4 linked regions of the Tamandua tetradactyla genome follow. The protein of the gene in region 3 interacts with the protein of the main gene of each other region in a pairwise test. Links are inferred from orthologs where the notes say so. Each region holds a gene or a part of one and is shown on either strand. Other genes may lie near its edges. The genes, in order: CKS1B, C11H19orf44, CBY2 and cilium assembly protein DZIP1L-like.

Region 1 (7,253 bases), about 110 Mb from region 3:
CATTTCTTTGGCTTCTTGGGTAGTGGCCTCCGGAACAGTAAAATGTGAGGTTCTGAAAGAGGGGTGAAATCTTAAGAGACAAGTTTATACCATTCTGTGCACAACTTAGTTTATCTCATGCTGTCCCATGGCCACCTCCCAGCTTTCACCCACTTAGATCTTTAACTAAATTAAGATTTAAGCATATGGCTCTAGAAGCAGACCCAGAGGCAATTCTGCCAAGTACAGAATGGTTAATAATCCTTTTGCTGTGTTTGTACAGCCCTGGGATGTCCCTTATTAGTTTTGCCTGGCAGCTGGGTGTCTGGTGTCTTATCAACAAATATATTTTTCTTGGCTTATTTGGAACACATCCAAAAATCGGCTTTCTAGTGGAGAATGAAACAGGGCCATAACCTCTACCAGGGTATAGCTGGCCTTAAAGAGTATTCTCTGTTGAATGAATTAAAAATTAAAAGGAGATTTCTTCAGTGACAGGTTGTCTCTGAACTTCATGGATATTTTACTCTTATTTTTATTTTTGGTCACTCTAGTTTTTCTAGATAGGTGATGGAGGGGAAAGAGCCAGTAAATCATGCTCTCCTTCCCCCATTTCTTTGGGCAGCACACTTACTATTCCTTCGTTCTCTCAGTGTACCAGCCCTATACAGATGCTTTTAGCTGTTCCACTGACCTGGTTCATGGATCATATAATGGACCCATCCCTGACTTTGCTGAACACCAAGATTCCTCCATTCCGATTCAGACATCAAATGGGTTTTAGGGACCAGCTTGGCTATGTCCTTGGGCAACATGACATGCCTGTAAGAGAAACAAGGGAAGGCAGGGAATTTGTGTCAGCACTGTGAACAGTCTGTTAAAACAAGTGCCTGCAAACAAAGCCAAGAGAGGAGAGAAAAGAGAAACCAGTTTCTGAAGTCAGGAGTTTATACATTCCTTATTGTATATAGAGGGCTAGGGCCAGCTATGAATCCAGCCTAAGTTAGGTAAATCCTCACAAAAGTACCTTATAAATAATTTAAATGGATGAGCACTTAAGTCTCACGTACTGATACATTGTCCCTGCCTTCATCATGCTTACAGTCTTCTCATTGATTACCCATAACATAATGAAAGCCCCACAACAAACATTAATAATTAAGTTGGGTTTTGAACAGGTTTGGTAAAGGGAGAGCAATTTTGTGGAGCAGAAAGGCCCATTATGTATTGCTGTGTAGAAAAGCCACCACAAAGAGTGAAATGGAAATATCTTATCTTTTAAAGTCTATTCCAAATCATTTTCCTTATTCTGAAATAAGGATATGCCATGAGACTTCTTTTGGGAAACTCCATGCTTCCCTAGCCAGGGAAAAATCTCTTTTCATGACAGAAAAATTATTACTCTGAGCTTGAACCAGGCTAACCTGGGTAGACTTCATTATGTTCAGTGAAAATGTACTAAATGCTCCCTCTGTGCTAGTAAGAGGTTTTTTCCCAGAGATAATTCTAGTGTAGATGTCTGAAAATAGCTTACATTCTAACAAGCTTCTGCCACAAAGTTTGGCTTCAGTACATAATTTAACAAAAACCTCTTAAACCAAATTACCTTTGCCAAGCTAAGAGTTACATCTCCCAAAGGATGAAACTAGTGACTTCTCCCTGCAAAGATGTTATAAGTATCTAGTTTCAGTTAGTTTAGTTCAGATGTAGAGGTGTTTAGCTGAGGAAAAGAAAGTTAATTGCATCCGAGAAGGGCTTGGGGTTGTTTTACCAAGGACCTAGCATGAAAATGGTTATTTGTCAACACACACAGAATTTTCCAAAGTATACTCAGAGCCAGGCATTAGGCCAGGTGAAGAGACAAGACAAAAAGCAAGTTTCCATTTTATACTCTCCAATTGAGACAATATGCAAACAGAAAGTTGTCTTAATTATTACAATTAATACAGATTAGTAGAATGTTAACAATTGTAGAATCCTCTGTCTTTCCTCATTTTCCAATCTAGAATTATGGATTTATCAAATCTTAACTGTGCATACAATCCAGGGATTCCTTCTTTGCCAACCGTGGTAGACGACTAACCAGCAACTTGATTCTGAGGCACTTTCTCCTTCCTAATCTTTTCCTTGAGTCCATCTCAGGCAGTTTTCTCGAGGAAGCGTTCCCAGACCTACCAATTTCCTTGGCTGGTTTTATAAATCCCACCACACCCTGTACACATCTCTATCATATCATATAAGTGTATCTTCCACAGATTTTAAGTTCATTGAATGCAGAGACAACGTCTTATATTAACCTTGCATCTTAGCAGGACACCTGAAACCTGTAAGTACTCGTAATTGTTTCCTGAACAGATGCCCTTCAAATATCTAAAGTTTTTATTAGACTCATCTTAAACCTTTTCTCTTAGCCAATTTGTTCCACCTCGCAGCCCCCTTCCAAAATAAGCCAGATTTGGACCCTCTCAGGCCTCTCCTCACATTGAGGACACTAGAAAACCTCCAATTCCGCTTTTGCCAACTTCTCCCCGCAGGCATTCTGGTCCTAGACGGTTTGCCCAACAAAGTTGAGAGAATACTCCAGAAACCTGCAAAGGTGATGGGGGGTTGGGAGGTCAGGGACCGAAACACACACTCTAAGCCACGCCTCCTCTCAAGAGTCCAAATTCGCAACCAATTTATCTGTTCCCGAGCGCGCCCGACGCGTTGCGCATGCGCTTCACGCCCTCCACGCTCTCACAGCACTCCCGTTAAACCCCAGCGCATGCGCCGAATCTGTCGCCTCAGTTCTCATTACTAACGCCTCGTGTTCTCACTTGTCAAGGCTCACGACCACGTTACGGCCCCCGCGCCGGCACTAACCGGTACTCGAACTCCTCGTCGTCGTATTTGTCCGAATAGTAAATTTGTTTGTGCGACATGATGGCTCTGACTGAGGGCCCCCAGCCCGGCGCAGCCAAGCTCCAAACAACTCCCAGCAGCACGCGCTCCCACCCTCCTTGGCCTCGCTTTCAAACACACCGCCCGCACTTCCTATTGGCTTGTTTGGCTCAAGGCGGGACAGCTCCACCTTCAAGCCTCTGATTGGCTTAGATTTCTTCTCCTCGAGTCTTTATTGGAGCGCAGTATCCTACGTTTCTCTAGAACGAGCGTGGGACAAAAATAGGCCTCCTATTGGCTATCGCTGCGCTTGTGCTCGCTCTCGCACTGCTATTGGCTGATTTACGAAAGTGGGCGGGGCGAAGGAGAGACAGTGAGGTAGAGGGTCAGGGGTTAGTGAGGCCGGAAGTAGGTGCAATAAAGTTTCTCCAGGGAGGCCTGGCCCGGGGAGAAAGTTGGAGCGGCGACCTAGAGAGGCAGTGTGGCGTAATCCGGAACCACATCGGCCCGCGGTGCGGTGCGGAGACTCCATGAGGCCCTGGTGAGTCTTGACTTCTTTTCTTCTTAGGTGACCCACACCTCCACCCCGGAACCCCTCTCCCGGGACCCCACTTCCGGTCTCCCCTTTCAAGTCCCGCCCCCTAAGACCCCCTTCCCGGAAGTCCCACCTCTCAACTTCAGGGGGGGCTCCCCGAACCCCGATTTGTTTTCCATCTATTGTTCCTGACCCCACCCTGTCGCCAGCTTTATTGGAAGTCCCACCCCCAGACATGCTTCCAATCCCTACTACTAGAAACCCTTCGTTTGTCCTTTCAACTGTCTGAACTTCCGCCTCCTCTGGACGATTCTCCGCTAACTCTGTCTGTCAAAAGACCTATCTCCCAGAAGGGCCGAGCCCTGCCCCTCCAGGAACTATTCGAATTAATTGAAGCCACGCCTCTCTAGGGGCTCCACCCCTCCAGAAGCCACACCTCTCCCTTAATCTGCGTTTGATGGTGTAGAAACCTTGGCTCTCGGTAGTATCTGCTGCACGCATTTTAGGGGCCACGCCCCCACAGGAACTTTATTCCTGTAGGACCCAGGTCACCACCTCAGAGGCTTTGTCTTTGATTCCAGACGCTGTACATTAATACTTACATTTCCCCTCCCTTTCTGTCTTCTGAGCTTTGGACTCAGCTTTCCTGAGCTCTCTCATGCCCCACTGAGTGGGAAGACAAGTTCCCATCTTTCGTCCGAGGAGTAAGAGAGGCAGCCCCTCACCCCCTTCCAGTGGTGGACCGACTTGAAGAGGGACTTGGGGTCTGGTACGAGAGTAGGACAGAGATTTGCTTGTAGATGCCAAGCCCCACTCCTTTAGTTTCTCTTTCCAGGACCGACTCCACCCCAGGAAGAGCTGAATGTCATAACCTGCACTTCGCGAGCTGGGGAGGGCTGTGGATTCAGTGGTGTGCAGCGTGTGGGTGTGACGGGAGTGAGGGTTTTCTGTCACCTGAGAATGCGGGTTTGGAGTGGGGGCTGAGAGCAGTTTACCTGGTGGTGGTTGATTATTTTAAGGGACTCCTCGGTTCCCACCACTTCTCTGGCTCTTCCCCTCCCCCTAGCCGGAGTTCTTGTCTGGGCATTCCTCCTGGTCCCGCTTGCCTAGCCTTCCCGGCTGGAAACATTCCTGAGGCTTTCACCATTTCCTGCTACTTTCCTCCCAGCTTGCCTCCTCCCTGCTGGGCTGAGAAGCCAGACACAACGTCCCCACACCCAACCACCTGGGCTCCCAGTAGGCATTTTTCTTTCTTTCTATGCAAATTTAGAGCCAAAGTTCCTCTTTCTTTTCTTCCAAATGCCCACACCTGTTGGTTGCTCCCGACCTCTGGCAGCCACAGAATGGCTGTCTTGAAAGATGAGGATATCCTACTGTGTGTTGAATGTGTGAGTCTGAGGAATCCCTTCTTCATTTTCTCTAGACCTGAGAGCTGAGGTCTTAGGAGACGGAGTGATAGAATTCTTTCTCTGGAGTGGTGGCTGGGGTGACAAACTCTCCTGGGATGAGGGCTAATGGGAGGTGAAAGAGTTTAGCACAGTGTCTCACATGTTTTAAGTGCTAATATTGTTGATCATTTTTTTACCCTCTGAAGTAAATTTCAGGTTAGGGTAATTCCAAGGTGAGCTGGGGGTATGTGTCTTTTACTTCTTGTTTTTTGGTGGCTTCCTAAGTTACTCTGTTGCTCCCTTAAGCACAGTTGTGGTGAGAAGCTGTGGGTGGAAGGAATGGGTTTGAGACTTCCTTGTGTCCAGCCTCAGCCTGTCTTCTTCTGGCCTCCTTTTTTTTCTGTAGATTTTAAGACAAATCTGTCTTCTACTTTTTCTGTCCTTTAGTGGCCCATAGCTCCCATTTCACTTGGAAAACTGATCCACTCTCCCATCCGTCCCCTGGTGTGGAGGACACTGTGCTCTATGATGAACCCCTGCCCCTTCCCCAGTTACTGCTGGGGGTGGGGGGGAGGAGGGGTACAGGAGTACACCTGATGGATCCAGGGAGTTGACTTTCAAGTTAGTGCTCTGGCTCTCAGTTCTTAGCCTTGACAGCATTCTTTGCTGACTAGCCTGTGGGAAGAGGGGCAGGACTGTGCCTGGCATGTAGGTGCCATGCATAGGAAACAAGGCTCGACTAGCCTGTCCTCTTGTTCCAGCTGTCACCTCCAGCTTTATCCCCTTCACTTCACCAGTTTTGCCTTTCCTCTTGGCCCCTCTGTGCATCCACTGGGACCACTTCTTTCCCTTCCCCATTTTTCTAGCTCCAGTCCCCAGCTGTTGTGGCAGAGAAAGCTAATGGCTCAGGCTCCCTGGGGCCACCTTGACTGTGTGTGGTAGTGGTGGGGAGGTGGCCGGGGTTGGAGGATGGGGGAATGTGAGCATTCAACCAGGACTAGAAGGGAAGTGCTGAGCTCAGGGATCCCACCCTCAGCTGCCTCTGTTTCCTCTCTCATTGCTACCCCCCACCCTCCCATCCTGGCTTCCTGCACCCCCTGGCCTGCCCATGTCCTGTTTGGACTGATCCAGACATGCTCTCATTTCCCTCCTTTCCTTCCCACTTCTCCATCTTTCCCTTTAGCCCACAACCCGCACTTTACTCCTCTCTGGTGGGGTCGGGAGAAGGGGCTTAGATATCTCTACTCCTGCAAGGGTTCTAAGTCGGGGCTGCGGTGGGGGCTCAGCCCCTCTGAGCCTGTGAGTCAGCACTGTCCTCGCGATTGGTCTCTCCTCTTTGCTCCCGCCCCTGGGGAGGAGCCAGGCAGCTCTGGGTCCAGCCTGTTCTCTTCTCGCCAGAAGAGAGGCTCCACGTTGGGCGGGGATGGGCCCTGAAACTGTCTGGGTCTGAGCTGGGGGAGCAAAAGCCGCCTATCCCTCTCCCTCCAGGACTCCTGGGACTCTTAGACCATAGCGGTCTCACCAGGCTAAGGGCCTGGGATGCCCCTTGCCTGGCCCCCTTGCCCTGACTGGCAGGGGGGCCGGGCTGGGCAGCAGCCCCCTTCGCACCCCAGCCATGGATCTCTTGCCCCCTAAGCCCAAGTACAACCCACTTCGGAATGAGTCTCTGTCATCGCTGGAGGAGGGGGCTTCAGGGTCCTCGCCCCCGGAGGAGCTGCCTTCCCCTTCAGCCTCGTCCTTGGGACCCATCCTGCCACCTTTGCCTGTGGACGATAGTCCCACCACCCTGTGCTCCTTCTTTCCCCGGATGAGCAACCTGAAGCTGGCCAACCCGGCTGGGGGGCGCCTGGGACCGAGGGGGGAGCCAGAAAGGGCAGCTGAGGATGGGGAGGGGATCGTAGGGGCAGCCATTCCAGACTCAGGCCCCCTGCCCCTCCTCCAGGACATGAACAAGCTGAGTGGAGGCGGCGGGCGCAGGACTCGGGTGGAAGGGGGCCAGCTGGGGGGCGAGGAGTGGACCCGCCACGGGAGCTTTGTCAATAAGCCCACGCGGGGCTGGCTGCATCCCAACGACAAAGTCATGGGACCTGGGGTTTCCTACTTGGTTCGGGTGAGTGAACATCCTCCCTTCTCCTCCCTCCCAGACCCATTCCAGTTTCTCTGCTTATTCCTGCTTCGCTGGAATCTCTTTTCCTGCCATTCCCCAATAACCCCTTCCTTGAGGGCTCTGTTCCTGTGTCTGCTTTCCTTTCTTACACCTTTCTTGCCCCTTCTCCGTTTCTGTAGCTGCTTCCTTCCAGGTCTCCCTAGGGCCCTTTCTCTTGACTCCCCAACCCCTACCCTGCCATGCTTAGCACAATGCCCAGCACATGGGGGGCCCTTAGTAGGTGTGGGAAGGAGCCTCGATTCTCCCCTCCAGTCTCCTCCCTCTTCCAGAAGATGTCACTCCTTTGTCTCCACCCCATCCCTTG
Region 2 (7,800 bases), on a different chromosome or scaffold from region 3:
CGAACATTTTAGTCTGAGTGGGTCCCACAAGCTTTTATATTGAAAAATAAGTGTGTTCCAAATATTTTTATACTAAAAATTTATTTAAGCAGGGAATGCAAATTCAACAGGGTATACTGTACTATTATTTACTAAACCTGGCAAATCCTGTATTTAACACTCCTTTCTTTTTTTTTTATTAATTAAAAGAATTTAACAAACAAAACATTAAGATATTCCATTCTACATATATAATCAGTAATTCTTAATATCATCACATACTTGCATATTCATCATTTCTTAGAACATTTGCATCGATTTAGAAAAAGAAATAAAAAGACAACAGAAAAAGAAATAAAACGATAACAGAGAAAAAAAGATTATACATACCATACCCCTTATCCCTTGCTTTCATTTACCACTAGCATTTCAAACTAAATTTATTTTAACATTTGTTCCCCCTATTATTTATTTTTATTCCATATGTTCTACTCTTCTGTTGACGAGGTAGATAAAAGGAGCATCAGACACAAGGTTTTCACATTAACACTCCTTTCGAAGCTGAACTCAAAAATGACTTCGGCAAAGAAAAGTTTTTAATCTAAAGCTGAAGATTTGGTATAAGAATGAATTATGGTTACCATGGTTATTAAGTTTTTATCTTACTGTCCATTGCTCTGACGGGTGAGCTAGTTTGCTTGCTCATTTGCATCTTAAACCATCTAAGCATCGAGAGAGGCCAGCCCAGGCCTGGCCCGCAGCAGTGCTCAGTAGATGGAAAACCACACCTTAAAGAAACATCTGCAAATTCCTAGTCCGGAGTGATACCGGGAAGTTACTGACCTGCTGTGTGTCTCCGTTTTCCTCATCCGTAAAAAGGGAAGAGTGGAAAGATCAAAGGTGAAGGTGGAGTTATACAGAGGTCAGGTTTAACAAATGAGTATGACTGTGAATCATTACGCTCGTATTTCTTTTAGTCTCCAGTATCTTAGAGCAGCTAGAAGTACAAGAGCTTAAAATCGTGGAATTGTAACCGATACCAAACCCTGAAATCTGGTCTACAATCCAAACCCTGAAATCTGGTCTACAACTCATTGTTGCAATGTGCTTTGAAATTTATTTTTTGTATATGCTATTTTTCACACACACAAAAAAAGTCAACGGTGATGATAAATGCTCAAGTATATGGTGATATTGTGAACCACTGATTATACACTTTGGATGATTATGAGTATATAATATATATCAATAAAAAATGAATAATTAAAAAGGATCAAAGGAGAATGTGGAGTTATAAAAGAGAAGATAGGATTTAACAAATGAGTATGACTCATGAATCATTATATTGATGTTTCTTTCAGTCTCTGGTGTCTTGGAGCAGCTGGAAGGAAAAACCTGAAATTGTGGAACTGTAACCCATACCAAACTCTGAAATCTGTTCTATAATTGTGTGCTTTGAAATTTAGTGCTTTTTTGTATGTATGTTATTCTTCACAAAAAAAATAAGCACAAATTAAAAAACCAAAAAAAAGGGGGGGGGGGAGTGGCTATCACATCACCCCTGCAGGGTTTTTATAAGGAGCAAAGGAATTAAAGCAGGTTCTGCGTGGGCCATGGAATGATCACTTAAAGTTAGGCCACGCTTAGGGCACCTGCAAGATGGGGTTGCTTTTAGCTGCAGGGTGTGGTGACAGACAAGCCCCGGCACAGGATTTGGACATACACAGCTCGAAAGAGTGCCAATATCCACCTTTATTAACACCTGTAGCTGAGGCTGAGAATCTAGGCCAGGTTTTCGGGCTTCTAGTTCTCCATAAAGTCCCCCCAGCCTTCAACATAAAGCCAGAGCAAAAGATCTGAGCAGAACGATAACGTGAACGGCCAGTGGGCACATGGAAAGATGGTCAACTTCACTAGCTCTCAGGGAAAGCTAATAAAAACTGCAAGGAGATATTACTGCACAGCTGCCCAGATGGCTAGAATCGAAAAGACAGAGGACAGTCCCTGCTGACCCGGACGTGGGAAAACTGGACCTCCCATGCGGCTGCGGGGGGAGGGGAAGGTAAACCGGGGAGTCCCCGCTTTGGAAGTCTAGCAGTTCCTCAAAAAGTTAAACATGGGGATACCACAGGACCCGGCAGTTCTGCAGGAGAGACATGAAAGCTTCCAGCCACCCAGTACCTGCATGCCAATGTTCCTAAAGGGAGCAGGGAAACCACCCAAACGTGTCTGTCAGCTGAGGAAAGGACGGCAGGCCGTGGTCCATTGGCGATGGAGTATCACTCCGGAATAAACATGGACACTGACACGCCACCTCGTGAATGAGCCGCAAACACATCACGCCGAGTGAAAGAGCCAGATTCAAAACATCACACACCGCCCAGTTCCGCGAACACGCAACGCCCAGAACAGGAGGGTCCACAGAGAGAAAGCAGATCTGCGGTGTGCAGGGGCGGGGGTGGGAGTGGGGGCTGCACAGGGGAGAGGCGAGCTCTCCGGGGCGATGTTAAAAAGTTCCCAAGCTGGATTGTGGCGGTGGCGCCACAACTCTCGAGATTCCAAAAAAACAACCGAATTGCATACTTCAAGCAGGTGAATTTTACAGTATGGGAATTCTCTCAACAGAGCTGCTCAAAATGAAATAAACCGACCTCTGAAAACCCTGGCGCCCCTGAGAGCATCCCGGCTTTTGGCGCGACGAGCCCACACTCCCTGTGGGGGAGGGGGGCCCTAGACGGGGAAATGCCCGGCCGCCGCGCGCCCCGCCCCCGAGCGCGCACCCCTCCCCCCGCCACCCCTCTCCCAAGCCCGAGAGCAAAGCTCTTCCGCCGGGCCCGCAGACCTCTGTCCTCGCTGTCCATCCATGGTGGTCGCTGACACGCTTGGCGGGGCGCAGAGGCCTGAGGACACCGTTGCCCCAGGCAACAGCGCCGGGGAGGAAGAGACTACATCTCCCGGCCTGCACCACGCGCCGGGAGCCAATAGCACAACGGGTCATAATTGCTGGGGATGACGGGATTGGTAGTTCCGGGGCGGGTCCGGCGTGCACAGCGGGGCGGGGGGGGGTTCCAATGGCGCGACAGGTCACAATCGCGGGGTGTGTCGGGAGTTGTAGTTCCGCTGCCCGGCGCGGAGGCCGCAGGGAGCGAGGGGGCGGTTGCGAGAGGAGGCGCCGCCCAGCGGCTATGGCCGCGACTCGCGTCTCGCTCTGGGCCGTGTGCGTGTTGCGCGTGGTCCTGGCCACCGTCTACTTCCAGGAGGAGTTTCTAGACGGAGGTGAAAGGGGCGACGCCCCTCGGGGAGGCGTGCGGACCCCTCCCCCGCCACCAGCTGTCCAGCGGGCGGCCGAGTCGCCGTTGGCCCCGGGCTGGACTTCGCGGGGTCCTGGGCGCGAAGTCTCGAAGCTTCGAAGCCTCGAGGGCCCCTCCCCCTCCCCCTCCCTTCCCCCTCCCGCCACCTCCCCTCCCCTCCTCCTCCCCCCCTCCCCCTTACCCAGAGGGGGCCCCCCTCGGCCCTGACCGGTGTCGTTTCCCCCCTTCCCGCCTCGCAGAGCGTTGGAGGAACCGGTGGGTCCAGTCGACCAACGATTCCCAATTTGGGCATTTTAGGCTCTCGTCGGGAAAGTTTTATGGTCATAAAGAGAAAGACAAAGGTTAGTGTAGAAACCATGCTGAATGCCAAAGCCCCCGTGGCAGCCTTTCCGAGCGAGGTGTGGGGGCGCCCCGACCCCTGCCTGCACCCCCTTTACAGGGAGGAAGACCGAGGCCCGGGGAGGAAGGGTCCTCGTTGCCAGTTTTTTTGTTTCTTCTTTCCTTTCCCAAGAGCATCCTAGTGTTTCGTGACCACTCATCAGCTAGGATGATGGGGACCCGTCTGGCCCCACAGAGGGACTTCCCTGCCGCTTTTTGTTTTCCGCGTTAAAAAAGAAAGAAATCGCTGCCCCACGTGTGTGATGTCAAGTGCACAACTCTTCGGGGTTCGAGTTGATGGGTGTTCGCCCCTGTGTGGCCACGGGAGAGGCATCCCTTGTGTCCCTCTCGCAGTTGGCCCCTTTCACCTGCAGCAAGGATAAACTCATTTCTGGTGGTTTTCACCCAAGGTCGGCAATAACCAGCTTGCCTGTCACCTGTTTTTGTACAGCCAGTGAGCCGAGAGTGGTTTTCACATGTTTTTTTAATTGTCGGGGGGAAGAAAAGATCAAAAGGAGGGTGGTATTTTGTGACATGCAGAAATCATGTGAAGGTCAAAGAAATGCATGAAATTTTAGCACCCGTAAAGTCTTTCTGAACACAGCCACATCGTGTGCTTACATGTCTGGGGCTGATTTTCTCACTATAGAGGCAGAGTCCAGGAATTGACCCACAGAGTCTAAGGGGCTACTGGCTGACCCTTTACAGAGAAAGTTTGCCAACCTGTGCTGTAGATGAAAAGTTTTCCCTCTTCTCCACCTTCTGTTCAACCACTGTCTCACCCTGTTATTGCAACGCTGCCCTGTTCTGGCAGCCTCTAGCTTTGGGTGGTATAGGCATTGTTTTGTAAGGTATGCATTGACCTGAATAGCTGGTAAAAGTTGAGGCCATGTAGTAAATAAAGGTGGGATGAAAACTGACAGGTTATTTGATGGAACTTGTCAAGGGAGAGAGGTTTCCATGTAATCTCCTCTGAGTTGTTTCTGTGTCTGTTTTTCACACCCCCCCCCCCCTTTTCTAACATGAAGCCTTTGAGATTCTGTGCATTGTGTTCATTTGTTCGGCATATGGCTGTTGCTGTCAGACACAGGCAAAGCACTTGGGATACCCAGTTAATTTGGTCCCTTCCCTCGTCATCTCCTGGGACCGTGACATTGAAGCCGTGAATCCCAAGATGAGTGAAATTTATCCAGACAGGGATGGGAGGTGGAGAGAGCAAGAGGAGGGTGGCTGCACAACAGGAGAAGGCTGCAAATCAGCTGGCTTGGGAATTGCCTGGGTGGTGCGAGTATGGGAGAGGCTGGGGCTATGGACTCCCTTAGAAACAGAGGGAAGAGGGGTGCCGGTGCGGGGAACACAGTCCTGAGGTTTTGACATAACGAGACAAAACCCCGAGTTCATTTCTGATTTCTCAGCATAGGCAGGTATAGGGGTAAGGCAGGGCATGGAGCAAGGAGGGGTGGACGGAAGGAAGAATGGCTCCACATTCTGACAAGCTCCGGTCTAAGAGAGGGATTTGAAACAGTTCCTAGTGGCTACTGAGAAAGGAAGTTTTTGTTTTGAAGTGAATGCCTAAATTTAGAAAGCACATACTTGGTTATTTGTGCAACAAAACAGATGAGAGCTTGCAGGGGTCTACCCTAGGGCGGTGGGCATTTGAGTACCCACCAGCCACCCCGGGTTTCATGTTCTCATTGGCTCCCCTGTTTCTTAAGTAGCTGTTTGAAGATTGAGAACTGGAGGAAAGGAATAGAACGTTCTGTTTTTCACCCAGCTACCACACAAGCCTCCGGTGTATGTTCTCATGGTCAGGAAGAAGAAAGGGGCCGAATTAACCTCAGGCCCATAGTTAGATGTGTACTTGTCATTTAGAATTGGAGTGTGTTTGTCACTTAAAACACTGCAGTGCTCTGTGAAGGGGAAAAACATCCCTGGCGTGAAGTAGAAGTTCCTTGAGAGCAGAGGGCTGGCTGGTGGTGGTGTCTGAGTTCCCTGTCGCACTGGACTAACTGTTTCTCTCTGGGGTCTGGGGCACCACATCCGTGTACCTTCCCTGCCTCTCTGGGCACAATGCCACTCCCTATCTATCATTAGTACTTTCTGCTTCAAGGTCTGCAAACCACCCAGAATGGCCGATTCTACGCCATCTCTGCCCGCTTCAAGCCATTTAGCAACAAAGGGAAGACGCTGGTCATTCAGTACACGGTGAAGCACGAGCAGAAGATGGACTGCGGTGGCGGCTACCTCAAGGTCTTCCCTGCAGACCTGGACCAGAAGAACCTGAACGGGAAGTCCCCATACTACATCATGTTTGGTGAGTGGTCATGTGGGCAGCACAGCCCCGGCCGCTGTCGGTGGGTGCCCTTCCACCCAGGCCCTCATTAGACCACGGTTTGCTGACGTGGTGTGAGGTCTGTTGGGTGGGTTCAGTCTGTCTGACCTGAGGTTTTTAACACCATTAAATCTAGTTAATTTCATGAGAAGGCAACTGTGCCATTCTCTTGTGCTGTGAAAAAGTTGTTTATCCAGTTTTGGCACAATCCCAAATGCATTGAATTTATCGGGAGGGTGACTGCTGCTCACTGTAAACTGTTTGTCGTACAGCTCGTGTTCCAAAGCTGCTTTTTACATTTTTAAATGGCCTTGGAAAAGTCCAAAGTAGGCTAACATTTTGTGCCACGTAAAAATGAGATGAAATTGGCATTTCAGTGTCTTTGGCCAAGGTCACTTTTTAAAAAAAAAATTAATTAATAGATTTTTAATTAAAAAAATATGACAAGAAACACATTCTTAACATATGATCATTCTGTTCTGCATACTAATCAGTAATTCACAATATCATCACATAGTTCCATATTCATCATCATGATCATTTCTTAGAACATTTGCATTAATTCAGAGAAAGAAAGAAAAAGACAACAGAAAAAAGTTCTTACATACCATACCTCTCCCTTTCATTGATCACTAGCATTTCAATTTAAGTTTATTTTAACATTTATTCCCCCTATTATTCATCTTTATTCCATATGTTTTATTCATCTGTTGACAAAGTAGATAAGACACAAGGTTTTCACAATCACACAGTCACATTGTGAAAGCTCTATCATTATACAATTATCTTCAAGAAACATGGCTACTGGAACACAGCTCTACATTTTCAGACAGTTCTCTCCAGCCTCTCCACTACAACATGACTAACAAGATGATAACTATATAATGCATAAGAATAACCTCCAGGATAACCTCTTGACTCTGTTTGAAATCTCTCAGCCATTGACACTTTATTTTGTCTCATTTCACTCTTTCCCCTTTTGGTGGAGAAGGTTTTCTCAATCCCTTGGTGCTGAGTCTCAGTTCATTCTAGGATTTCTGTCCCACATTGCCAGGAAGGTCCACACCCCTGGGAGTCATATCACCACGTAGACGGGGGAGGGTGGTGAGATTGCTTGTGTTGGCTGAGAGAGAGAGAGGCCACATCTGAGCAACAAAAGAGGTTCTCTTGGGGGTGACTCTTACGCCTAATTTTAAGTAGGCTTAGCCTGTTCTTTGTGGGGTTAAGTTTCATATGAACAACCCCCAAGATTTGGGGGCTCAGCCTATAGCTTTGGTTGTCTGCACTGCCAAGCTTACTTCTTGACATGTCATCGTGGCTGCTTGGGAGCCAGGTTGGCTGATGTCACCACAGTGACCATCTAGTCCACAGAGCTGAAAATACTTACCTGGCTCTTTACAGAAAAAGTTGGTCTACCCTTGGGAAATTAAATAGTCTCTCCCCGTATCTAGGGTAATTGATTAATATCTCACTGAAATCATACCTCAGTGGGCCATGTGAAACAGGTGTGACCAAAGAGTGTAGGTTCTTCTTCCCCAAAGAAGCTCTTCAGGAGCAAGTGTATTTTTAAGTGTCCTTTCATCATCCCAAATTGGGGAATGGTCCTTTAAAATTCTTTTCTCTCACCTCCTGATGTGGGTAGCTTCAGGACATTTCTCCCTCACACATTCTCTGTGAATTTATCATAGTCAGCCTCTGGCTTTGGATGCCTGGTTAGGCTGACTCATGTTTCTCTAGCCTGTGGGTCATGATGTTATTTAGAATCAGAAGAAGAGATAATAGCATTGATGATAGGGAGCC
Region 3 (7,611 bases):
CCAAGGTAAATGTGACTGATGTTAATAGAACTACAACGCGAACAGTAAAGAGGATAAAGAAGATGTCACACATGGTAGCTTTGGCTAGCTGTTTTGACACAGAACCTAAAATCTTCATCGCAACAATTACTCAGTTTGGCAGAGCTCCAAGTACTCTCAATGGGCTTCCACAGTTTCTCAAGAACAAGCCCAAACTAAGGGACACTGAGGTATGAGGGGGCATTGCAGCGTGCTGTGGGAGCTCATTCTGATCTGGCCTAGCCCCTTCGTTAATGATCTAGGAGTAAACAAAGCCCTAATGAAATTCACAGATATGGCTCATTGGGGAAATGTGGAGAATGCCCACGAGAACTGAATCGTTAGGTACACAAGGAACTGAGAGGTGAGCCAGCTCGGGCAGCAAAAAACAGCAGTGGCTTGCAAGTTGCTGTGCTGGAGGGAAACACAAATATTTAACGTGCGGAAGAAAAACTGGAAATCGGTAAGACCTGAAAAGACCTCAGGGTGATAACAAATATGCTTCAATGGCATTTGCAATGTAATTGAGAAGGCTGAACGCCCAGCATGATTAGGAGCTGGGAGGCCAGACACACTTTCTGGATGAGCAGAACTGCTGCAGCATTTCCTCCCAGTAAAGCAAACACATTCAGTTCTTGAGTAGAGCAGCAAGTCGCAGATGTATGCGTGGAAGTCTGTAGGAGCAGTTAAAATGGTAGAAGAGGAGGTACTGTCTCCTAAAAGCAAGGGTAGAATCTCAGGGCTGAAGCAGGACCTGGCTGAGGGATCAAACCCTGGGGTTCCCTGGGATTCCTGGGAATTCCAGTTCCCACACCAATAAAATATCTACCTCCCACCCGCCTGGCCCCGTGATCACGTAACCAGATTAGTGCTCAATCTAGTTTCCCAGATGAGTCCTTTTGCCCAAAACTGACACCAACTCATTTTCTGTAACAAACACTCAAAGTATTTTGGGGAGGTAGAGTGAGCATGCAGGTCCCTCTCACAGCCCCAGGGGTAGAAGCTGCTATTGATTTGAAGATACAGCTGCCCACACCCCTGCTCCAGAGCTCATGCCTAGAGCACCCAGCAGGTATCTGAAACGTGGCTTGTGCCCTCTCTGTAAGTCCTGCAGTCAAGGAGATGAGCAGCTCCAGAATAAACTGGAGCCCTTTCCCCAATCTCATTATCACATGACCACTACAATGCTTTCAAATCCAATTCCCACACCCCCTCACTCCCTCTACCCATCCCTTAGTAATGCTGAATGATTTACTGGGACTGAAAGAACCAAAGGAATTCAAGGCAGGAACTACACATGACTTTCAAGTGGAATGAATTAGCCCTAAAACAAAATTCCCACACTTTGTAGGAATACTATTGGTAAGTCATCCTGGCCAGTGACCAAGAGTAAGTTACATTCCAGAGTTGAGCTTCATGAGCTGAAATGGATGTTCATTACAAAATGATAAGGCCCATGTAAAAAGAAATATCCAGAATATTTTCTTGCTCTACATTTTTCCCACCTGCTGAACACATGTGTAAATTGTTACAATTACCTCCATCTACAGAAACAATGCTGCAAGTTTCTCTCTCTAAATGTGTTGTTCTGAAAATTCTGAGGAAAGAGGTAGCATTAAGAAAGAAACAAGTGAGGACGTCCATTGGCCGTGGGATCTTCCTCTCCTACCTTCCCTGACAGTATTCAGGTAGTTACCTTTTCATTTGATTCTTCCACCCTACATTTCAGCCCCTCTGGCTGCACAGACATGGTCTTCAAGCTGGGTCTTAGGTAAGTCTGGAGATGCAAGGCTGACCTTTGTGACATAGCAGCATGTGGAAACAGCCCAATCAAGAGGACTCCACCAAGGAAACAGCTGCTTAGCAGATGGAGACCTGGACATCTCAGGTCTTTCAGGACTTGACCAACTGATCTGCCTCTCTTCTGAATCCCTCTGGAAAACACATCCACCTCCCTTAAGCCCTCTGTCTTGGGTATGTAACAGAGCTTAATTTTCTTAACAACTCCAAATGACCTGGTCCCCTTGATGTGTGTACTAGATTTTCTTCTCATGGATGACTTCATATGATTTGATTCTGAGACCTGTCTCAAATCTGACCCCAAGAAATCAGAGTGGTGGCCCAATGGCAAACACCAACAAATTTCATTTAGAGAAGGTTGGGTCATTTCAAAGTACAAGAGAAGCTGGAAATGTTAGTGCTAGAAGGTCTTAATGGGCTTCCCAGCACCCTCATTTGAAGGAAGATGAACCCAAGGTCCAGAGTGGCTAAGTGGCCTCTCCCAGGCACACAGCTGGTTGGAAGCTGCCCTGGAAGTAGAACCTCAGACCTTGACTACTCTGCTTGTTCCACAACATCATGCTAGAGTTTTGAAGGAGAAGAGCTATTCTGGCTAAAACTGACGGGTTACGTCCTTCTGTGATAATCTCTACCTGAGGTAGAAACACACTGATTGGAATTTCTAGGCTTTCAGATCTGGGATCTCTTTGTCTTGTAAAATTTGGACTTAATAGAAAAGAGAAAATAAAATGATTTCTGCTTCCCAGCCCATCCTCTGGGCAGCAGTTGTTAACCTGAAAAGCACAGGACTTTCTGCTCATTTATTGCCCTGCTGTCAGTCATCTGCATTATGAACATCTGAGTCTGAAGGAACGTGTGCATGATATCTGATAAGATGCTTTATCCATCTCTGAGCAGAAATTAAGATGTAAAAGCGTTCCAAAAACCTTTGAAGCAGGGAGAACTATGCCTACTTCTTGGTCTGAAATTAGTATGTCTATCTCAAGAATAAAAGCCATACCAACGTGAGGTGCCAGGTATAGGTCCTATGCAGAAGTTGGTCACCAAAACACTCAGAACATTCCAGAGGTGACATCACAAAACAATACGGTGTTTTTCAGCGCTCATGGTTTCCTGTGAGCGTCACAGGTGGCAGTGAGGCATCTGAGCAGCAGGAAGAGCTCAGCCCTGGCTGTGTCTGCAGGCCGGTCACGGTCAGTGTGACACACAATAGCCCAAGCACCAGCCCCCTGTTTGGTCACCCCAGCCAGGGTGACTCACATCCCCTGCCAGGCTGAGCTGAGACCCCTTTCCTCTCTCTAGAGGTGGGTGTCTTCTACTCGGAGTTGGGTTACTAAGAAGGAAGAAACCCAAAGTGAACTCTGCCTGGATCACGGAAGGAAATGTAGAAACCAAGTCGCGGCCACGCTGCTGGTATTAGGGCTTCATGAACAGGGCAGCTCAGACCCTCTGACCTCAGTTCTGTCAAATCAGTTGCCCCTCTCTAGGATCTGTTCGTGGGAACCCTCCTGATTATTCTTATAACATAAGAATAATCTCTTCTTAGCCAGAGAGTCCCGATTCCACATTATTATGCAATTTTCAGGGAAAAAGAGTGGTGGGTCAGGGTCAGCAAGGCCAGAGACACTATAACTGCTGTCTGAAGTTTCCCACACCCCATCACAAGCAAGTTTTTTTTAAGAAAATCCAATGTGCAAAAATTAAAGAATATACTTATGGTAAAATCCAGAGGGTAATCAATTGCATTGTCAAACTTTACTCATTTTGCAAGGAAACTTGTCTTGGGTTCTTTTAAGCAGTTCACTGTCAGATTGCCTAAAAACACATTTCAGCTGTATACATATTTTCACAATATACATTAAAAGCAGAGAAGCCAGAACAAGAATATTCACCTATGTATCCACCTTAAGTGGAGCTATAAAAATCAGGAAATGTGGCACTGATATAAAGTTATAGTCTATATTCCAAGTTTTTCATATGTCCCAATAATGCCCTTTTGGGCCTTTTATCCTCCATGTTAGATCCAGTCCAGGTGACATAGTGCATTTAGTTGTTTTTGTCTCTTTAGTTTCTCTTGTTCTTAGAAAGATACAGGGATGTGTTTGGTATTCAAGGAGTATGATGTATACAATCTACTCTCAAATATTTAGAAAACAGATGAAAAGATGGAGGGGGTAGATAGAATGATACAAAAAATGTGGCAAAATGTTCAAAATTGTTGGATCTGGGTATCTGAGTAAAGGGTACGCTGGAATTCTCTGTTTGGATTTTGCATTATTTTTGCAACTATCCTATAAGCCTGAAATTATTTCAAAATAAAAAGTTTATTAAAAAGAATGCAGACCCAAGGGCAATGTGATGTCACCAGTGCCCAGAGATCCTCATGGGGCTGTGTGGTCAAGGGGTCATGTTTTTCGGCAGGCCCTGCTCTTTGTGGTCTCCCACCTTCCTCCCCTCTGCCATGGTCCTTTGCCTTTTTCTGCCTAAAGCCTGATTCTGGGTGAAGGGATAGTGCCAGATCCTTTCACGTCCCACAATGAAACGCGCTGCCCCACCATATCTATGGGTGATGAAGACCCTCAGGATGAAACTTTGGCTCCCTCTCCAGTTTTGTCAAAGGCCATCCCCAACCTGTCTTGGGAAGGGGCATTGCTAAAGGAAAGAATGGGAATGTATCCACAAACTGCCCTGTTTCCTTAGCTGTGATTTAGAGTCCCAGGGCTGTCCTACCCAGAGCAGTTTCTCAGGTATGGGGGTGTACCACAACAAGATGGCTTTAAACTACAAAAATTTGCTCTCTCACAATTCTGGAGATCAGGGTGAGTTCTTCCTGGATGCTTCCGGTGGCTGCCAATGATCCTTGGTGTTCCTTGGCTCGTAGAGCAAACTCCGCCTCAGTCTTCCCATCTCCTTCTCTTGCATCTTCTCCCCTTTTTGCCCCTCTAAGGACACTTGCATTGGACTTAGGGCCCACCCTAACCCAGGATAATCTTGAGATCCTTCACTTAACTGCATCTGCAATGACCCTTTTGCAAAGATCTATCTTTGAGGGGAGGGCCACAATTCAACACACAACGACATGGAAAGAGCTCTTCTTACTGAACCTAAAAGAATAAATGAGGCTCCAGGTAGAAAGGTCTGGATGCCGGCATCATGCAAATCTGGGGCCCAATAAACAGTTACTTACTGGGTGACATGGGTAAGGTCCATGGCCTATTAGAAGCTTCAGTTTCCTCATCTTTAAAATGGGGAGGTTACATTTAAGCATAAGGTTCCAGGCACATAGTATGTTCTCCATAAAGAATGTTTTGTTGCCCTCACATAGCTCATTGCCTTGCTCCCTTTGACTCAAAAATTTCAGTCAGCTAATATACAATTGGTGTTGCTGTTAAAAGGTGTGAAAAGTCAATGCTTAAATCGCAGGGAGTTTTATTTGGGTTGATAGTAAAGTCTGGGTAATGGATGGTGGTAATGGAAGCACAGCAGTGTGAACATAATTAGCAGCACTGAATTATGTATGTGAATACGGTTCAAGGAAAAGTTTTAGGTTTGTATACATGTTATTAGAACAAAAATTTTTTAAAAATCCATAAGACTGTACAATACAGTCAGTGAATCCTATTGTAAATGATGAACTAGTTATTATTACAATTATAAAAATATTGATAAAAGGGCGGGCCGCGGTGGCTCAGCGGGCAAAGTGCTTGCCTGCTATGCCGGAGGACCTCGGTTCGATTCCCGGCCCCAGCCCATGTAACAAAAAACGGAAAAACAAAATACAATAAAACAAGAAAATGTTTAAAGATGTTTCCCTTTCTACCTTCCTTCCTTCCTTCTATCCTTCCTTCCTTCTCTCTGTCTTTCCTTTAAAAAAAAAAAAAAAAAAAAAAAAAAAAAAAAATATTGATAAAAATGTTTTTTCATGATTGTAACAAAGGTACTAATGCAACGTGTTAATAATAGGGTGATCTGTGGGAACCCTGTTATTCTATGCATGATTTTTATGTACACCTACAACCTCTCTAATTAAACAAAAACATTTTTTTAAAGGCATAACCCTGCAGCTTGTGTGGCATCTTGTTTGTTTGGTTGATTCAATTGTATTTAGTTTTTAACAGGAGGAGCATTTCAGTTGGGCCAACCTGCAACCAGCATCTCCAGTTGCACATTAGCTGGGTTCCTTCCTCTTCTGCAGGACACAAGCATCCATAACCTAGTGCTCAGAAGCTTCCTTCAGATGGTGCCCAAAAATGCCTGCTATTACTCAGATTAACATGGTCATCAATCATCCACGTTCAGTGAACAACCACAATTGGCCGCTAAGCAGGGCATGGAGGTAGACATGACTTGTGGGGTTTTAATCTAAACAGACAGGTTAGGCAGCAAGAGGAAAGGGCAGGCAGGCATCCGAGACTCTCCAGACTTCCCTAGCCTGTGACTTTCTGAAGATGAACCACACAAGGAAATACAGCCAGCAGGAGGGTCTGTTAAAGAGGGTGGGACCTCTGCCCTTCCCCAGAGGGATAAAGGAATAAAAGCTCTTGGAACTGGATTCCAAGGCGTGCATGGGGTTTCCATTTTAACCTTTCTTTCCTTTTCAGTTGTGAAAGTAGGGAAGGAAAGGGGGCATTGTAAATATCATGATGCTTACAACCTCCAAATTGCAGGAAGTGATTAGGAAAATTTATTTTTGCTATGTAGGACAGAAGCTAGGTGTCATCTGGAGCTGGAGAAGCAGCCCAAGTAGAGTGAGAACTTGGGCAAAACTGCTCCCAGAAAAGGCCAACACCCCTTATCTTCTTTTGATACAGAAGGCAGCAGCCAGGGAGTCCATTGAAAGAGTTGGAAAGCCTGTGGGGCAACAAATAAAGATCACCTATTGGAAAAGTCTGGGAGTGGAAGGAAGTAGGAAAATAGGATGACAGCTGTCAAGGGGTGACTATGTGAGATGAACAGTTGTTATAAAAGAAACACTCACATTCACAGAATTATCAAAATAACCACTGGAGGTGGATGACACTGGCAAGTGGAATAGTTGGTACTCCCAGTTCAGATTCAGCCAGGAGAGTAAGTCTTGGTGAAGTCAGAGAAGAGGCTATGCACAGGATGGGCTCCACTGAGAAACATCCAAACCTGGGGGCTCTAGAACTTTGTGCGATTACAGAACTTTCATTCTTGACTCTAGAAACAAACAGAAATTTCCCCAAAGTCTTGACATTTTCTAAATATTATTTAATTTACTCACTTAAGCCAAGAGTAAAGTGCAATCAAAAGACTTCCGATGGAGAAGACTTTCAGTCTTCTAAGACATGTTCTTTCATTTTGGAAAAATTCAAGTGAGGTAACTGGGGACGTCTTGGTAACTGTCTCCCTCTGAAATGAATATTGGTCATGGGAGGGCACACCAAAAGCCCTGGAAATGGACACTCACAAATGAAGAGGCAGGCACAGCTCTACTCCACTCCACTCTAGACTGACAGGGCCAAAATTGAAGGCTTTGTTTATTAAGACAGCTGTAATCATGATTTATGCGACTCTGTACATTTTACTCTAACCAAAATTAAAAGTCATCAAATTAGTTAAGTGTGTAATCCCCTAAATTAATTGTCCATTAGAAGCTCTTTAATGATAATGGAATGCTTACCAAATAATTTGTGACCTCTGAATAGTACCTAATAAATTGACTAAAGTATTCTTCAAGAAGTAAGAAAAGTCCTCAGTGAGTTATAATGAGTTCAGTTCTCCAAAAAGTGGGTCTAAGACTGGACTTGCACTGCCCTGAGGAAGGACAAT
Region 4 (7,182 bases), on a different chromosome or scaffold from region 3:
ATCAGGGGTATACACACAGATTTACACACAAGAATGCTCAACATCATGTGATTTAAAGTAGACAAATAAAGTAGACATATATTTAACAGGAGGAAACTATGAAATAAATTATGATAGCCACATGAGGGAACACCATACAGCCATTAAAAATCCTATTTGCAAAAATGATTCAGTGACGATGGAAAATGTGATACATCCTTAAATGAAAATAAGCAATAGTCAAAATTGCATACTAAATGTTTATACAGATATAAAGAAAAAACTGACAGAGAATACACCAAAATATTAACCACTGGTAATATCATGCATGATTTTTTATTTTCTCTTTTCTATACTTCTGTATTTAAATTTCCTATATCAAAGACATATGTTTATCAGAAAAAAATTATTTAACAAATGGGAAATGTTTTTCCTTAGCAGCCTCGAATGAAGCTCCAAAAAGTATTAGATACATAATAAATGCATCATAATTAAATAAATGCTACTATTTGAAAATATTAAACCTGTTCTTTGAAAGGGGAGTTAAAAGATGGGGAATAAGAAAAATGGGGATTTTTATATTTAGCTATTTTAACAGATATTTCTTGTTGAACCTCAAAAAAAAGGTCCACAGATCTTTTTCGCATACCTCTTTTGGCAAAAAGCATGCCAAAACTTGAAATGGTAATATTAAAATGATGAAGTCATGATAATATACTCGAGTAAATAGAAAAATCAAAAAGCTGGTCAGTGGCTCATTTACGCTCCTTGCCAGTAGTCTCAGACAACGCCAGGTGCGCAGGGGGCTGGGAGGAAAGGGACCTCTGAGCAGGGGTCCGGCTGCCCCTATTCTCAGCAGAGGCCCCTGAGACCCCAAGGGGGAAGCCACGGCCAAGGTCCCACAATAGACAGGGACAAAACCGAGACGACACCACCTCGCCATCCACCTTCCCTGCCCGCGGCCAGACACGCTCCCCAGCCCCACACGCGCACATCACGTCCTCAACAGGCCGAGGAGGCTCAGACCCCGGGCTGCAGGTGCCTCCACCCACGGGAGACCAGCTCCGGGCCCGCCCCCGCCCCAGGGTGCCACCAGCGCTCACCGCCGTCGGCCGAGCCCGCGTGCCTACGCTGGATGTGGCCCCGCAGGAAGGTGGCGTTCATGAACGTCTTGTCACACAGGTGGCACTGCACAGAGAGGAAACAGGGGGGGCCACAGGATTAGCCTGGCCCAGTCGGCCCGGAGTCCTCCCCACCCCTCAGGCCCCCTGAGCCACTTGGGAAATGGAGCTGACCGACTGAGCCCAGCGAGTCCCCCATCCGAGCTGCACACCAGACTCACCTGGAGCTTTAAAACTACCCATGCCCTGGGGAACCAAGACCACCGGCTGGATATTTGATGATGGTGACAAAGTTTTGTGGATGAGGTTAGAGTTTTGTTGGCTTTTGGTGCGGTTGATGGTATTATGCTTAAAAGTGGAAGTTCTTGCTTTTTCAGAGATACATACTGAAATATCTATAGATGAAATCATATGACAAATATGCCTCAAAATAATCCAGGGGTGGGAGAGAGTGGATAGAGGAACAAACAAAATATCAGCCAAGAGTTGGTGAGTGGCTGGGTGGTGTGCAGATAAAGGTTCATTGTGACTTTCTCTCTATCACTGTGTTTAAAATTTTCCATAGTAGAAAGTTTTAAAATATGCCCAAGCCCCATCCCAGGGTGAAAAAACACCAGAGGCAGAGACAGCAAATAAATAACATCTGTAATTCCACTTCCGTTTCCTAAATGCATGTCAGTCACTGCATATTATCTTTCCATTGTAAAACTTCAGAGGAAAACTTTGCAGGTTGCCACAGCCAATCAATCAGAGTAAGAGGGCAGAGTAAAGTGAAGTCTATTTGCTATCTTTGCACAAAGGCAATGGAACAGACTCTGCCAGTTGGCGTCCCCAAATGCATTTTCCCCTTCCTTTGTAACAGAAACCTTGATTTTTAGCAAGTCATGATGTCACTGAAAATAAAGACTTTACGTCCCAGTCTCTCTTGCAACCATGTAAGCCATGTAACTAAATTACACAGAGGAAGAAGAGCCAAGAGCTGCAGAGCAAGAAACTCGATTCTGCAGCCATATCTGATTCCTGGGGCAAGCCACACCTGACACCCACCAAACCTTTTCAGTTAAAATCAACCAATAAATTTCCTATGGGCCTAAACCAGGTTAGAGTGCTGAAAGGGTTCTAACCCTTTGTAAGGTAATTAACTCTATCTTACAGCAGTTATATCAATTATCATTCTATCAATTAACATTCTATCATAATGATTCCTTCTGTCCCACCTACCCCCAAACTATACATTTCTTGAAGGCCCAAACCAGCTGAGGGCTGCACTCTGAACAAGGAGAAGCCTCACAGAGGCCTCGGGGCTGGTGCGGCAGGGGAGGTGGGGGGGAGCGTAAGTGGGGGGTGACCGCCTGGCTGGGACACGCCGCCCGCCCCTGCGGGGTCCCGCGGAGGCTCCGCACCGGGTGGCAGCCGTGGGCGCCGGTCTGCAGGAGCAGCTGCTGCAGGGCGCTGATCATCTTGCGGCGCCGGCGGCTCTCCTCGCGCACACCCTTGAGCTCATCGGCCCGGCGGCCCAGCTCCTGCTGGCCACGCTCCTGCTGGCCCAGACTGGCCTGCAGCCGCGCCTCCAGCTGGGCCACGCCGGCGCTCAGGCAGTCCTGGCAGTGCAGCAGGTACTCGATGGTCAGCTGCGCCAGGCGCAGCACCTTGAGCAGCGCGGGGTCCACGGGCTGCCCGCAGCGGCTGCATGCCTCCCGGTCCAGGCTGCAGAAGGTGACGCCGGCGATGTTCTCCTGCAGGGTGGCCACGTCCAGCTCCCGCGCCACGCGCTCCACGTCCAGGGCACTAATGCGCCGCCAGTCCACACTCTCGCGGCGCGGCTGGAACTTGAAGGCGGGCGGGGTGTAGGCCCCGAAGGGGGGCCCGCCGAGGCCCTGGGCAGCGACGGCGGCGGGCTGCATGGGCGGGGTAAGACGGCTGTCCCCGAGGCCACGGCAGCAGGAACGCGAGCGGCGGCAAGGCCTGGGGAAGAGAAGTGAGTCCCAGTGAGGCCAGGACGGGTGGCTGCAGGGGCTGCCGGCGCTGCACTCCTGCCCAGCCAGCGCCCCGGTGGGGCGAGCCAGGTGTCTGCAAGCAGCTGTAGAGTGTCTGCACGTGCCAGTGTGGCCGAATCTGCGGAGAAGAACGGGGCGGGACTGCGTGAATAAAGTATGAAGTACTGTGTGCCACTATGGAAAAGAATAAGGCAGCATTACACACAGTGACATGGAATTATCTCTGAAATACGTTGCATGAAAAAGAGAAGATATAGAACAAGGTGTGTGTATGTGTATATATATATTTTTTCCTATTTTTAATGATCTATTTATATGATCACATTTAACAATAACTCACAAAATAAAGAATGCATACATATATAAACATGCACATTCGAATGGTTTTATACAAGGGAGAAGAGAAATGGGAGTGTGAAATGGGAATAAATAAATTAGCAGATGGATGATGTGGGGGTGGGAGATGGGTGGATGGATAGACAGATGCACAGACAAAAAAGACAGACGGACATGATAGGCCTTTCACAGGCCAACGACACAATGCTATAACGAACAGGACTAACTCAGCCCTCTGTACAGCACATCTGTATTCCACATCATAAAAGAAATACATGACAGGTGCTCTGTATTTTCTGCATACTTTTCTGGGGTAAACGTATAGCTACTCCAAAAAGAAAAATGTTTTTAAAATAAAAACAATATCTAATCCTTAACTAAAAGAAATACATGTACGCATATGTTATTTATATTTATCATTCATATATAATATGTAATCAAACTTGTATAAAATATATTTATTTATTATTCATTATATTATTTTTATTTTATTTTATTTCCAGACTATTTCTGGAAAGAGACCACAAGCTGTTCACTATAATTACTGCTGGAAAATAGAAATAGAGGTCAGAAGACCTTTACTTTGCACTTTCCACTTCTCAGTACTATTAAAGTCACTTCTCATCATCATCTGTTACTTTCATCTTTTTTAAAAGAAAAAAATATATACAATTTCTGCCACTGAAGAACTTAGAATCTGACTGGGGCAACAAGAGGTACACAACACCCTGTCTAATCAAGTTCTTTCTAGATTATGTGATTCAGACTTTTCTGTACAATGGAAAGTTAGAGAAGAGAAAGATCATTGACCTCATGAAAGAGAAAAAGGACTCAGGGAACCATCAGGTTTGCAAAGAGAGGCAGGCCCTCAGCAGCACGCCTGGCCCCAGCCGTCTTGCTGTCTACACCTGTGAAAGGTGGCGTTCAGCCTGCCCTGCCCGCCCCCAGGCCCCTGGGAGGGTGGCAGAAGTGAGGGGGAAATCCCTCACTAATAATACCGGCCAATATGCAGGGGTGCCAGCCTCTGTGCTGGGCCCTAATGCCAAATACAAACCTACAGGCAGGTATTATCATGCCAGTTTACAAACCAGGATACTGAGGTCCGGAGCACTTAAGTGGCTTGCCCCAGGTAAGAAAGGCACAACTGAAGTACAATTGCAGGTACATCTGGCTCCAAAGCTGGATTTGAATCACCCAACATTAATTTTGAGGGCTATTTATCCTAAATTTTTGCTTTGGTCAGATGATCACATTTCATCCCTCAAATCTCCAATGCATCCTTTTACTCACTGCCCTCCCATTTGCTGCATGGCCATGTGTGCTGGGCCCAGTGGTGGGTGCTGGGGCTCCCCAAGTGTATTACGCACACCCCATCCCCCACCGCAGAGCTCAGCGTGTTTGGTTGGCACAGTACCAAATCCAAACCCCTTAGCCTGGTCTTAAAGCCCACCCATAGGACCCCACCCACCCAGCTTTTCAGCTTCAGCTCCCATCCTTCCCCTCCCTGATACTCGCCCCCAACATGTACCCCAAAACACAAATACGCAGCCACAAAAATATGCAGCCACAAGCACCCCACCACGGCCACAAAAGGAAGACCGGCACGCTCCAATGTAACGGGCCAGGTGGAGGGAAACAGGGGGCAGGTGACAGGATACTCACCATGCCCGGCTCCAAGCTGCAACCGCGTCACCCAAGCCTCGGCGACAATTGCTCACAACACACCGTGCCCAGAGCAACAGCGAGTCATCAGGGAGGCGGTGGACAAGGGTAACAGGACACCCACCTCCTGTCCTCCCACAGGCTCCGAGCTGGCCCGAGGACCGCCACTGCTTAACTCTTTAAGCTCTGGCCTCAGATGTTTGCCAACAGCCCTCTCCCAGTTATAAGGCAAAGCACTCTCCAGCCACTCTCTCTCAGCTCTCCCATCCTTTGACTGCTCCTTCCAGCCAGTTCCCTCGGTTACCATCCCTTCCCAATTCTTTAAGGCAGCATAGGCTAGTGTCCCCCAATATTCTGCTGTTCACCCATGTCCCCCACCCCAGAGCTCAGCATGGCTTGTTGCCACAGTATCAAATCCAAACCCCTTAGCCTGGTCTTAAAGCCCTCTGCCTGGGGGTGAGCCCACACATACCCACAGCCTCGGCTAACCGCAGCCTGCCCAAGGCTGAGCCTCAGCCTCCCAAGCGCACGCTCCCTGCCCCATCAGTCCTGACCATCTCTCTCTTAGGGCTACGGATCCAATACTAATTATACCAGAAACTGCAAACCCAAATGCCACAGGGGCCAGAAAAGTAACATTAAGTGAGTGAAACAGGCTTGTCACAGAATGAGCTTGATGAGAAATAGCAACTGCTTCCTCCGCTCCTGTCCAAGGTCAAGTAAAGCCGTGGTTCTCAAAGTGTGGGCCCAAGACCAGCAGCATCAGTGTCGCCTGGGAACTTGTTAGAAATGCAGGTTCTCACCTCAGACTTACTGATTCTGAAACACTGCAGTAGGGAGTGTTGGCATAGGAAGTGTTGGGGACTGTGACAAACTGGAGGGCATATGTCCTTAAAAGGGGCAGCCACAATATGACAAAGGGCATATATGAAAAAACCCAAAGCTAGCATTGTACTCAGTGGTGAGAGACTGAAAGCTTTCCTTCCCTCTAAGATTGGGAACAAGACAAGGATGCCCTCTGTCACCACTATTCTTCAACATTGTGCTAGAGGGAGGAGCGTGGGTGCTGCCTGCCTGGCCAGAGGCGCCCGGGCTTTCTCTCTCCTCCTTCCTCCACATGGCCAGCGACAAGGGTTCCTTCGGCTCACCACTGCATCCACCACAGATTGGCTCCCTGCCTCCTCAACTTCCTTCAGGGACACATAAAGGAACTATCCCGGGTGGCAGTCAACCAAATCCTCCTGCATCATTATCATCACCTGCCTTCCTCACCAGATTCCTACAGCCAGCCTCCCCACTCCCCTGGCCATGACGGTTCCAGCCTATAACCCCACGTCGCCCCATTACAGCAGGAAGTAGCCAGAAAGATCTCGGCGCCCTATTATCACAAAAAGGCTGGAATGTTAGGTCGGGGGAACGGGGAAGGGCACTGCAGCTGGAGCTGCGGAGGCTGTGTCACCCCTCCCAACCTGACTTCCGGAACTAATGAACTGCCCCTTCCAGATGTCACCAGACCTCCATCCTTAAAAGCTGCCCGCGCTGAAGCCCACATGCACACTCACCTCCCTCCATCTTGGGTTTGCTAAGTGAATGCCCATTGATGCTTACAGAAGAAACTGCTGGCATCGGAAGCTGGAAGCAATGAAACCGGGAACCAGAACCAGGAGGAAGACATGAGGGCAAGGACACAAATGGACATTTGCACACCAGTGTTTATAGCAGCATGATTTACAACTGTGAAGAGATGGAAACAGCCAAAATGTCCATCAACAAAAGAGTGGCTAAACAAACTGTGGTATATGCATATGATGGAATATTATGCAGCTGTAAGACAAACTAAAGTTATGAAGTATGTAATAACATGGATGGACCTTAAGGACATTATGCTGAGTGAGATTAGCCAGAAACAAAAGGACAAACACTGTATGGTCTCACTGATGTGAACTGACATTAGTGAACAAACCTGGAGAATTTCATTGGTAACAGAAACCATTAGGAGATAGAAATAGGGTAAGATACTGGATAATTGGAGCTGAAAGGATACAGATTGTGCAACAGGACTAATTATAAAAACTCAGAAATGGATA

The links.
Region 1: the proteins of CBY2 (region 3) and CKS1B interact in binary tests that used the Homo sapiens proteins (3 or more experiments, as listed by UniProt). The two-hybrid records come from large-scale screens. The link is inferred for Tamandua tetradactyla from reciprocal best matches to the Homo sapiens genes CBY2 and CKS1B.
Region 2: the proteins of CBY2 (region 3) and C11H19orf44 interact in binary tests that used the Homo sapiens proteins (3 or more experiments, as listed by UniProt). The two-hybrid records come from large-scale screens. The link is inferred for Tamandua tetradactyla from reciprocal best matches to the Homo sapiens genes CBY2 and C19orf44.
Region 4: the proteins of CBY2 (region 3) and cilium assembly protein DZIP1L-like interact in binary tests that used the Homo sapiens proteins (3 or more experiments, as listed by UniProt). The two-hybrid records come from large-scale screens. The link is inferred for Tamandua tetradactyla from reciprocal best matches to the Homo sapiens genes CBY2 and DZIP1L.

What each region holds. Positions count from the first base shown.
Region 1 is NC_135330.1:7,960,806-7,968,058, reverse strand, and holds the start of CKS1B (cyclin-dependent kinases regulatory subunit 1), read right to left. Parts: upstream 3,010-7,253; 5' UTR 2,901-3,009; coding exon 2,842-2,900; intron 802-2,841; coding exon 674-801; intron 53-673; coding exon 1-52. Other genes in the region: SHC1 (SHC-transforming protein 1), read left to right, coding at 4,195-4,782, 6,725-6,892.
Region 2 is NC_135337.1:95,050,854-95,058,653, reverse strand, and holds the start of C11H19orf44 (uncharacterized protein C19orf44 homolog), read right to left. Parts: upstream 3,003-7,800; 5' UTR 2,845-3,002; coding exon 2,822-2,844; intron 1-2,821. Other genes in the region: CALR3 (calreticulin-3), read left to right, coding at 3,165-3,255, 3,530-3,631, 5,779-5,982.
Region 3 is NC_135330.1:112,977,049-112,984,659, forward strand, and holds the start of CBY2 (protein chibby homolog 2), read right to left. Parts: upstream 3,021-7,611; 5' UTR 2,894-3,020; coding exon 2,819-2,893; intron 1,709-2,818; exon of another isoform or gene 1,563-1,708; coding exon of another isoform or gene 1,557-1,562; intron 1-1,556.
Region 4 is NC_135341.1:82,033,297-82,040,478, forward strand, and holds the start of cilium assembly protein DZIP1L-like, read right to left. Parts: upstream 3,013-7,182; 5' UTR 3,005-3,012; coding exon 2,504-3,004; intron 1,168-2,503; coding exon 1,083-1,167; intron 1-1,082. UniProt on the Homo sapiens protein: Involved in primary cilium formation. Probably acts as a transition zone protein required for localization of PKD1/PC1 and PKD2/PC2 to the ciliary membrane.